Yarrowia lipolytica: one gene and its partner. The protein of the gene in region 1 purifies or fractionates together with the protein of each later gene. This does not show direct contact. Links are inferred from orthologs where the notes say so. Each region holds a gene or a part of one and is shown on either strand. Other genes may lie near its edges.

Region 1 (5,196 bases):
TCCGATTGTTCATTCTGGGCGCCCGAGCCGAGTCCCAGCTGCCCCCCCACGTGTGGAAACAGCTCTCGTATCTCATCCCTACCGCCAAGTGGGAGCTGTACTTCATTGGTCCTGAGGCCTACTACGACCGAGACAAGCACCAGTACGTGCAGCACTCGCGACCCGTGGAGATGAAGATCGACGACACCATGACCTTCAAGTTCTACTCGGACTACTTCCATGTGCTCCACGAGGCTCATGATTTCTTCCCTTACGACCCCTACCTGGATGCATTCTTCCTGTTCCACCCCGGTCTGGGAGCCCCCGAGGCCATGGATCAGTGGGCCAAGTCGTTGCCCGGTCTGCTGGAGTCCAAGTGTGCCATCTTCTCCACCGGTTTCCACAAGGATGACCTTGAGCGAGACTGGAACTGGCTGATGGACAAGTTTGGCTCCAAGCTGGACGTGCTGCTGGAGCCCTCAGAGAACATCTTTGGCTCGACCAAGTGGGAGCTCAACGATCTCAATTCTACGGAGGTTTACCAGTTTAACCAGCAAATGTTTGCTTTCCGAGGCAAGCGATACCACGCCATTCCCCAGTAATGTACATAGGGCGTGAATATTATGACAGATGAAATGAGGAAGAAGAGCGAGGAAGATGAGCAGCTCTCACCAAACCACTGACTGAATTGTAGTAAAAACAGTACTTATTTGACCAAGCTCTGCAGTTTTACTGTACATACATACCAAGGGGTTGTATCATGTATACTACAAAGTAATTACACCAACTTTACTCATTAGAAACATTATACAGAACCAATGAATGGTATATACAACTTTTAACACTTCTGCCGTACTTTCTCTACTCAATGCAATAAATTAACAATAATTTCCCAGTTTCATCGGTTCAATCATAGACCTGCTAAATGATACTTTCCGGTTGTGTTAGTTACCATTAGTCAGATTCCGATCTCAGAGCAGTGTTTGGAAAAGGTCATCAACCCGTCCAAAAGGTGTTTTCAGAGTTGTAGACTGGATGCTAGAGTATCTGGGACAGACATCAATAGTTCAACCCCACCTGTCACCGCATCACCCTCAATATACCCATCTCCTGTTATTCCCGTGACGTTGAAGAAGATTTCGGGGCAATATTGAGTTCCGACTTTTTCCGGGATCTTCCAGTGTTAGTCAGAAATGGGGACTGAAGTTGCTTTTAGTCCTCGGAAGAAGATTGGTTAATTAAAAAATGAGTCAGCTGTTACTTTTCCAAAAAAAATTGCGCTCAATTTCTGTCCAGAACCACCAGTGAGAACGCTTCCATCACTCCCTCTCGGGGCATGTCTCCCCAACCAAACGCCAGAGCCTAATGTTGTATGCACAGGTAAGTACACTTTTCTAACTTCACACGACTCTCCCGATAACTAATACACCAAAACCACAATGAGAGCCACCAGAGTCCTTTTGAGAACCCCAATGATCAAGTTCCTGGGCAAGCGACCCACCAACGGTGAGTACGACCCTGATTGAGTAGTTGGACCTCGACACAGAAGCGTTTTGTGCGCCCTGAAATTGCCGCGACCAGCCCCGGGATATGGAGAGACATGTCTATGTGACATACAGGAGTGGTGTGGAGGAGCCATCAACAAGATGGTCAATGAATTGAGAGCGTGACTCCTAGTCACGGAAAGATTCGTGTGACAGTTGGATTGATTTCAGTCGAATCGAGATTGCGCTGTACTTCATCATCCTTGCGGCGCGATGATGCATGTGAGGATGTGCTGAGACTGTCGAGACAGACATAGTCATAACATGAGCATAACCGCGAATCTGCTCCGGCTGTGACACCATCACCAACCAAAAAAACTTCCGCGAATTCTTCTTTGCTCTTCTCTTTTCTTCTCTCCTCTCTTCTTCTGAACTCACCTCCCTACATTCACTCTACCAACAACCACCATCTGAACCAACTAACACAGTCAAAGTGGACCACACCCCACGACCCCATCCCTTGTCGCCGACCGGATCTCTACCACCATCATTCACCGCTGCCACCATCCCTCTCAACAAGGGCTCCAGCAGTAACTATTCCCCTCCTGGAGACGGCGAGTTTGCTTCTCGACGAGAGCTGTCCAAGCGATTCCAGTACCGACCCTTCTCCGAGAACGAGATCAACGAGGTCAACTCCGGCGGTGCTTTCTTTTAACCGATGTAACCAATGACAATTGATGATATTATAGAGAAGGGGGGTGTACAGTTGCTGCTGCCACCATAGTCACATGCAAAGAGGTTATGACATGTATTGTGTGATGTAAAAGTGGGTGGCATTAATTATATAAAAGAAAAATAATATATAAAGGGCTCGCTATATCGCACAAATAGTTGTAATTGTACTTCTATCCGACCATCAAAATCTCTCCTCGTCAACTCAAGATTGAGAACCCCATCATTTTAGGGTCTGCTGGTGGCGAACAGCACATCCAATGGTAGTCCGAAACAGAACACTTGGAACGGGATTAATAAGCAATATATACACAATATGACTATATAAAAAAACACAGGAGAGTCACATCAGATATTGGACATAATATCTATTCAATCGGAGCAAAATTGGCCCCGTTTCAAACCCCTCCACTTTAGATTACATAAGCACTCCTCCCAACCTAAACCTTCGCCGCCACCATGGCCTCGCAGTTACAGTCCACATCCATCTGTCACCCGAGACTTGTACACACCTACACACACTTACAATGGAGCAATCACCAATCAATTGGGGCCGTCCAAGAGACGACATTTACGGCCACTACTCGGATGCCATCTCGCAGGCCCCCAACACTCACTCGCTGCCCAAGAAACACACACAGCAGCCCACAGTTACCGGTTCTTCTGTGATTGGAATCAAGTTCGATAAAGGCGTGGTTGTGGCTGCTGACACCCTGGCCTCCTACGGTTCGCTGGCTCGGTTCGACAACATGGATCGATTGACCCAGGTCGGCGATTCCACCATTGTTGGCATTGGAGGCGACGTTTCAGACATGCAGTACGTCCAGAGACTGCTGGAGGAGCTAGAGATCGAGGAGAACTACGACAACAGCGGCGACCAGTCGCTGCACTCGGAAAACATCTTCAACTACTTGTCCAAGGTCTACTACAACCGAAGATCAAAGATGGATCCTCTGTGGAACGCCGTCCTTGTGGGCGGTGTTGACAGCAAGGACGAGCCCTTTCTGAGCCACGTCGACCTGCTCGGCGTCACCTTCAGCTCTCCCGCTCTGGCAACGGGCTTTGGTGCCTACTTGGCCCTGCCTCTGCTGCGACAGCTGGTGCCTTACCCCGACTCATACAAGAACGTGACGGAGGCTGACGCTCGAGCCATGGTGGAGAAGTGCATGAAGGTTCTCTTTTACCGAGATGCCCGGTCCATCGACAAGTACGACGTGGCCACTATAACCAAGGGCAATGTCAAGATCGAGAAGGATATCAAATGCAAGGATCAGAACTGGCGGTTTGCTGAAGACATCAGAGGATACGGTCGAACCACCTCTTAGGGATATAGGTAATGATTGCAGAACGAGACGAGTCGGGGTAGAAGCGGTTGAAAGTAGGGTCGTATATATAGCCACCTCGTTACTGTTGCACTGTGTAGGGCCGTTTCATGGAAGTCCGATCGTGGCTTCTCAACTGTTACAGGGCATGACGAGAAGTACGAGTATCCCTACACTAATCGATTCAGAATCCAAAGGCATTTCTGACACAGAGTACATGTCTTAGTGACCCTTCACTGTACAAAAGAGTCAACTTGTTTTCACTGTGTTTTGTTCTAATGTTGACGATGATCTCACTATGGAGTGTACTCGTACCCTGTAAATGGTCCATGGGTCTCAAAATTTGCAGCAGATAGTCGTTTGAAAACGTGTTTCAGCTGATGAACCTGAGTACTTCTCTACCTTGATCACCCAGTACATCTTTCCATATTTGAACCACAATAACGGAGTCGCCTGTATGAGCGAGTCGTACAACAGGAGTAGAGATCTATCATTGGGGTTACAGGCCGGGAAAGATCTTCATTAGATACAGGGAAGTAGAGGTTTTGTCTGGCTTGTTGTTTGCTTGATATTTGATATTATTGATACTGTATAGAACAGCTTGTTGAAGCTCTCAGCTCTATATCATCCTTAGTAAAGCCTCCACATTTTAATCTTCCTTACCATGTTCAACAAAAAACATTGAGGGTTCCATTGTAGAATGTACGATACTTGAAGTACGTTACTTGAGTTTTAAGAATACCCTAAGTGACTAAGTAAAACATATACAAGTACCGGTACGAGCACTGTACAATAGGGCTCCCGCTAGGACTCGTTCGGTACTACTACAGTAAACAGATATCCACATACCCTCTCCAAGGCCAGACCGATCCATGGCCGACTCCTTGCACGTATAGTGGTTATAATGGTTTCTTTGTCACGTCAATACCCTTTCCTCCGTATCTTTTCTTTGTAAATGCAACCCTGTAATTTGGCAGCCAGCGAAAGAGGAGAATGGCGCTACCATACCTGGACTTGCAGCGTAATACAGTATCGTATTACTCGTACTAGTATCTACAGTAGTCCTTGGACCGCCGTATATACACTGTACATACTACTGTATGTACTATTGTAGCAGACGGACCGTATGTACTACTTGTAGCACCACACATACCTCGGCATAGACAAATTGGGCTCGTTTTACGATAAAAGTGCCGCCTGTGCATTTCACATCACAACAATGGCCCACGTATAACTGTTCTGATACGATACCTACCCGGTACTCGTACCGTATGTATCGGTACCAGCCTGTCCCCATGCCAAGACAGTTTTCAAGACAATGCAGGTAATTTGAGATGTGGGACTGATGGATTTTGCAAGCCCACATTGTACGTACGGTAAGCGTGCTGGAGCTTTGTAGTACGGGCAAATCTTGTTGATCCACTGATCCATCGCTTCTGATACTCCATCGTCAATTAAGTCTTTTGCCCACCTGTCTTGTCTCTGTACACTCATGTTGTACAGATTTGGTTTTTCGTTTCCTGAGTTTGAGATCTGACGTGGTCAGCTGTAGGTCAGCCAAGACAGACAGACAGACAAATAAAGACCATGTCAACGACCAGGGTGTGTTTGTTGACGTGTTCTAGGCAGTAGAGTGGGAGCTATGCCTGGCTAAGTCCACCAGGAGCATTGTGATTGAT
Region 2 (5,262 bases), on another chromosome or scaffold:
GGCCCTCTCCTAATCCACGAGCCGGCCGAATACCACCATACTCAGCAGCGCAAAATTCTCACGCCGATCTTATCAAATAAATCTGAAACAACGCACGCCGTCACACGTCCGAAAAAGCCCGTGCTCCCGTCTCACTCCCATTCTGGCAAATGCCACGGTCGATAATGCAACATACATCCAGATACAGTTGCAATACTTTTCATCAGCCCATTTTTGAGCCTCCAATAAGCATAACCCTGCAAGTCTAAGTGTAGCGCGTAAGCATACCTCTAAGGAGACAAACGATCATATCTGGTGTGTTGAACAATGTCCAGTTTTGTACGAGTATCCGTCGTCCGTCTCAAGTAAATGCGTCAACTATCGATAGTGGTACTTGAAGTCGTTTCTGTGCCCCCAATATCATCATTAGTTGATTACGAGCCTTTCGACTCCCTGCCTATTTACAATAAATATAATGTGCTCCATGCCCGACTACCTCGCATCCTTCATCGCCTCGTCAAGCTCATCTCGTCGCTGCTTTTCTCCCTCCTCAGTCAGACCGGCCAGGTCCGGCGGAATTTCAGCCATCTGAACACTGGGGGCTCCCTGCAAAGTTCTCAGCTGTTCCATCACCTGCACATGCACAGAATCCAGAAACTTGCGGGAGTTCTTGTTGTCGATCTTACCAGCCAGGTTGGGATGCAACGAGTAATCTGGAGCAAAATACTTGAGAAAAGGCATGGAAGAAGGCAACCGAGTCTCCAGATCAACGTCCAGACACACACTGGTCTCATAACACCACAATCGAGACACGTTGCGAGGGGTGTATCCTCCTCCTCCAAGCACAATCAGAGGCAGGCCAAACGACTTTGTATATGCAACGCACTCTCCATGGGCCTTGATGTTGAGATTGAAACATCCCAAACGATCTCCACCAAGCGAATCAGCTCCACATTGAAGCACAATAGCCGAGGGTCTGTAACTGTTGAGAACAGGCTCTAAAACACTCTTGAACAGCCGCACGTACGACTCGTCGTCGATTCCGTCTCGTAGCGGCACGTTGAGTGAGTAGTTCTTGCCCAGACTAGTTCCAATCTCGTCAAAGTTTCCCGTACCAGGGAAGAACTCTCCGTTATACTTGTGGAACGACAGAGTCATGACTCGGTCGGTCGAATAGAACGCCTCCTGCACTCCGTCTCCGTGGTGAATGTCGATATCAATGTAAAGAACACGTGGATACATTCTGAGAAGGTTCAGAATCGCCAACACAATGTCGTTCACATAACAGAATCCACTGGCTTCAAACTTTTTCGCATGATGCAGACCTCCAGACCAGTTGATGGCGATATCTGACTGGCCAGCAAGAAGCTTTCGACTCGCGTCCAAACTGCTACCTGCGTAAATGATCGAGTAGTCGTACATGCCGTCGAAAATGGGACAATCGTCTCCAATGTTAAACTTGGGTAAAACTCGCTGGAACTTTTTGATGTTATCCGGAGTGACACGTTGCAAGAAATCAATGTACTCTTCGGCGTGGAACTCCCGCACCTCTGTTTCTGTGGCTCTTCGGGATCTGTACAAGTCCAGTTTGTTGTGTAGCTTGTATCCCAGCACCAGATGGTCTGTCAGCATGAGTCGAAACGGTTTCATGGGGTGACGGACTCCATAATGGTATCGCGCAGCCTCCTCGTTGAAATGGTACGACACGCGGCGTTTTTGTGTCGTCAGAAACGACTCGTAGAGAGGCGTGTTTTCCACCGTCTTGGAGTCAAACACGATGGTTGGTTCTGACATGACTGTAGAGAAGTGGAATGTGATGTGATGCTATGTGTTGTGTTTGTGACGGTGTCGCGTTGATTTTGGTGTCACTTGTGCCGCGTCTCTGCCGATAAATCCCGTATTATGTGCTTTTTTTTTTCTGTCGTATATTGTTTAGTGCACTGGAGATGGGTGATGGAGGTGAATTAATTGTGCATATAAGAAACTTTATTGGTAGGGTGAAATTCTAGGACAGATAGAAAAGGTGGCGAAAAGTCGGGAAAAATGGCTTGTGAGCATATCTTTTTCTCTAATGTTGGCCATTATCTGACCATGGCTTACTTTATTGAGCAAGTAATTTTCTCTCATCATGTAGCACCTGACCCAATACCCACTGCCATGTCTCTACCTCCTTACCACTATACACAGCTAACATCTACAAGTACATACTGTACATACAGTAGTCTCAAAAGAGTCAATATAACGGAGGGTATAGAGACGTCAGAAATATAAAAATTCCGGAAAACCATTATTAAAGCTACATTTGAACGACTGGAAAAATCACTAGCTTGATCAAACACCTCCAACACGATGGAAACGTCCCTTATAAATTTCCGTTTTCAGAACCTCAAGTTTGAGATTAGTTTACCTGTTTAACCGAGGTCAGCTCAACATAACACTCAAAGTAAGGCACCAAATACCCTCACAGGAGTCTCAGTCTATATGAATAATAGTATCATCCACTCAGACCTCCCCAATCGACTTTTTTTGAGCTCCGTAACCCTCCAAACACCACCAACTCACCTCTCCTCCACATTCAACTGAACTCCCAACTAAACCCCAACTATCGCTCTCAGGGTGGTTCCCTCCTAACCCTAACCCTACTCTCCCGCATCGCCACATACATCATGCTCACGGTGGTTACAGTACTCTTCATTGCCACCCAGAACCACACAACAGGAAAATGTCAGGTAAGTATTGAGCGATGGATCGGTCGCCAATGGGGACAAGACGGATCACGCGACTCGATTGCGCCGCCGACTATTCGGATATCGCTAACACAGGCTCTGCTGGATTCGATCGCCACATTACCATCTTTTCGCCTGAGGGCCGACTGTACCAGGTCGAGTACGCCTTCAAAGCATGCAACTCTGCCAACATCACGTCGCTGGGCATCCGAGGCAAGGACTGCGCGGTTGTCGTTTCGCAAAAGAAAATCTCCGACAAGCTGTTGGACCCTTCCACCGTGTCGTACATTTTCCGAATCTCTCCTAGCATCGGAGCAGTGCTGACTGGCCAGATTCCCGACGCTCGTGCAGCTGTCCAACGAGCCCGAGGAGAGGCCGCAGAGTTCCGATATAAGTACGGATACGACATGCCCTGCGATATGCTGGCCAAGCGAATGGCCAACATCAACCAGGTGTACACTCAGAGAGCATACATGCGACCGCTGGGCGTGATCATGACGCTGATTGCCATTGACGACGAGCGGGGACCTGAGCTGTACAAGTGCGACCCTGCCGGCTACTACGTGGGATACAAGGCCACTGCATCGGGTCCCAAGCAGCAGGAGGCTAACAACTTCCTGGAAAAGAAGCTCAAGAAGAAGGAGTATGCTGCTGGAGATGTCAACGAGGTAACCGAAACCGCCATTTCCGCTCTTTCCACTGCTCTGTCTGTGGACTTCAAGAAGAATGACATTGAGATTGGTGTGGCTACAAAGGACGGATTTAGAAAGTTGACTGTGGAGGAGATTGACGAGCGGCTGGTGGCTATCGCCGAGCAGGATTAATACCGAAGAGATGAGAATATGGTACACTGAGAAGATGGCGTGGTGATGGTTTTAGCATGATGATTCTATTAACATCCCTCATTGAGGCCAATTAGAGAAGGAATAAATATATTGATATGAAAATGGACAGTGGAAGGAACATAGGGGTGGATTTGTGTGTGTACTCGTTTTACTGTAACTGTTCATACAGGATGGTTTTGTTCACAGAAGATAATGGTAAGGAAGACGAACACTGTTGAGTGGGAAATCTAAGAATTACATCCAAGTGAATCTGGGTCGTTCTCAAGACTATTGTATAGCTCATTGGTTGTGTTTTACAAGTACAATACGCGTCATCTCATCTGTCTGTCGGGTTCTCTCTCTCTCGCGTTATCTACAGTACTGCACCTCTGAGTATGTCAAATAGTTGTCCCAGTAACTCTATATTTATGACAACAAAACAAATAGCTTCTTCTTTGTCTCAACTAAACACTTATCTAGCTAGCCCACAAATGATCACCAACACGCCTCCCACCAAGCAGGACCCCTTTCTGGCTCTCAAGGAGGCCTGCGAGGACAATCCGCGTCTCCGTCCCGTCTCGGCTGTCATTTGTGACGCGGCCGAAGACCTCGCCTTCCGAGCAGGTGTCATCACCTTGTTCAACGAGCTCAAGATGCGTGAGCAGGAGGTGGAGGAACTGACTAACGAGCTCCAACGGATGCAGAAGCTCAATAGCGAGCTCCACAACATGAACGAACAGCTTCAGAGAGCAAAGACCCTCATCTCTGCATCGCTCAAACGCCACATTGCCAACCAGAGAGCTGCCAACGAATCCAGACTCGAGCCTCTCCAGGACCTGTTTGACTACGCCGCAGGAGACTCCGCGGAGATCGATTTCGACGTTGAATGAGAAGGACATAGATGGGCGTCCGGAGAACATAAATAATAGAGAAACAGATCCATGATAGAATATGTACAAATAACTGAAGGGGGTAGGGGGAAGAGGTAGACCTCTGCTCCAATACTGTAGGACTGCAGTATGTATGTATACACAGAAATGCCCTCAGTTAACAGCATATATCTATACAACGTCAGTAGATCAATCAATGTACTACTGTATGTACTTTCCAGTGGATAAGTACTCCTTCACCATAAGCCTTTTGCTTCGATTCTATATCTCGCGCTGGTGCCCACATCGTCTATTATTATACATTACTATCCTATCTGGATCTCCAAACGACCATAAAGTCGCACTTTTGCTGCTGCTTGCCCCGGCTTCGCTCCATACAATGCTGAAGCAGCCGACTCAGCTCCTGCAGAATCTCCCATTGCACCTTTTCAATAGCCTTCCAAATCACCTGCAACAGACCAATGATGTTCTGCAGGTTCGGGGCTGTTCGGATCTCAACAGGAGACAGACCCGACAGCCGCTTCAAATACTCGTAGCCATCCTCCTTGGGCACATAGCTGTTGATGGGCCGCTCCTCGCTGCGCGTGAGCATCTCTGAGCCCCACTCGGTGATCTTGCCCTTCTCGGCCGTCAGCCGAACATTGGGATCTTTGTACAACGCCATGGCATGATCCTCACATCCAGAGTTGACAAACACAAACGCCCAGAGAGCCAGGGCAGCCATGGTTACACTGTGAGGTCGCTGAATCACAGGATCAAGATGTCCCTTGTACGTGAGCTCGTTAGGTCCGTCCAGGAAGACATCTCGGAGAATCCGAATAGCATGCCAAACAGCAATACTGC

Evidence for each region.
Region 2: the proteins of YALI1_E38526g (region 1) and YALI1_C07770g purify together in Saccharomyces cerevisiae (affinity purification with mass spectrometry; 4 studies listed by BioGRID). This does not show direct contact. The link is inferred for Yarrowia lipolytica from reciprocal best matches to the Saccharomyces cerevisiae genes PRE4 and SCL1.

Annotation. Positions count from the first base shown.
Region 1 is NC_090774.1:3,849,855-3,855,050, forward strand, and holds YALI1_E38526g (uncharacterized protein), read left to right. Parts: upstream 1-2,722; coding exon 2,723-3,520; downstream 3,521-5,196. Other genes in the region: YALI1_E38491g (uncharacterized protein), read left to right, coding at 1-581; YALI1_E38512g (uncharacterized protein), read left to right, coding at 1,419-1,485, 1,952-2,178. UniProt on the Saccharomyces cerevisiae protein: Non-catalytic component of the proteasome which degrades poly-ubiquitinated proteins in the cytoplasm and in the nucleus. It is essential for the regulated turnover of proteins and for the removal of misfolded proteins.
Region 2 is NC_090772.1:774,533-779,794, reverse strand, and holds YALI1_C07770g (uncharacterized protein), read left to right. Parts: upstream 1-2,722; coding exon 2,723-3,529; downstream 3,530-5,262. Other genes in the region: YALI1_C07780g (uncharacterized protein), read right to left, coding at 472-1,773; YALI1_C07758g (uncharacterized protein), read left to right, coding at 3,925-4,419; YALI1_C07721g (uncharacterized protein), read right to left, coding at 4,730-5,262.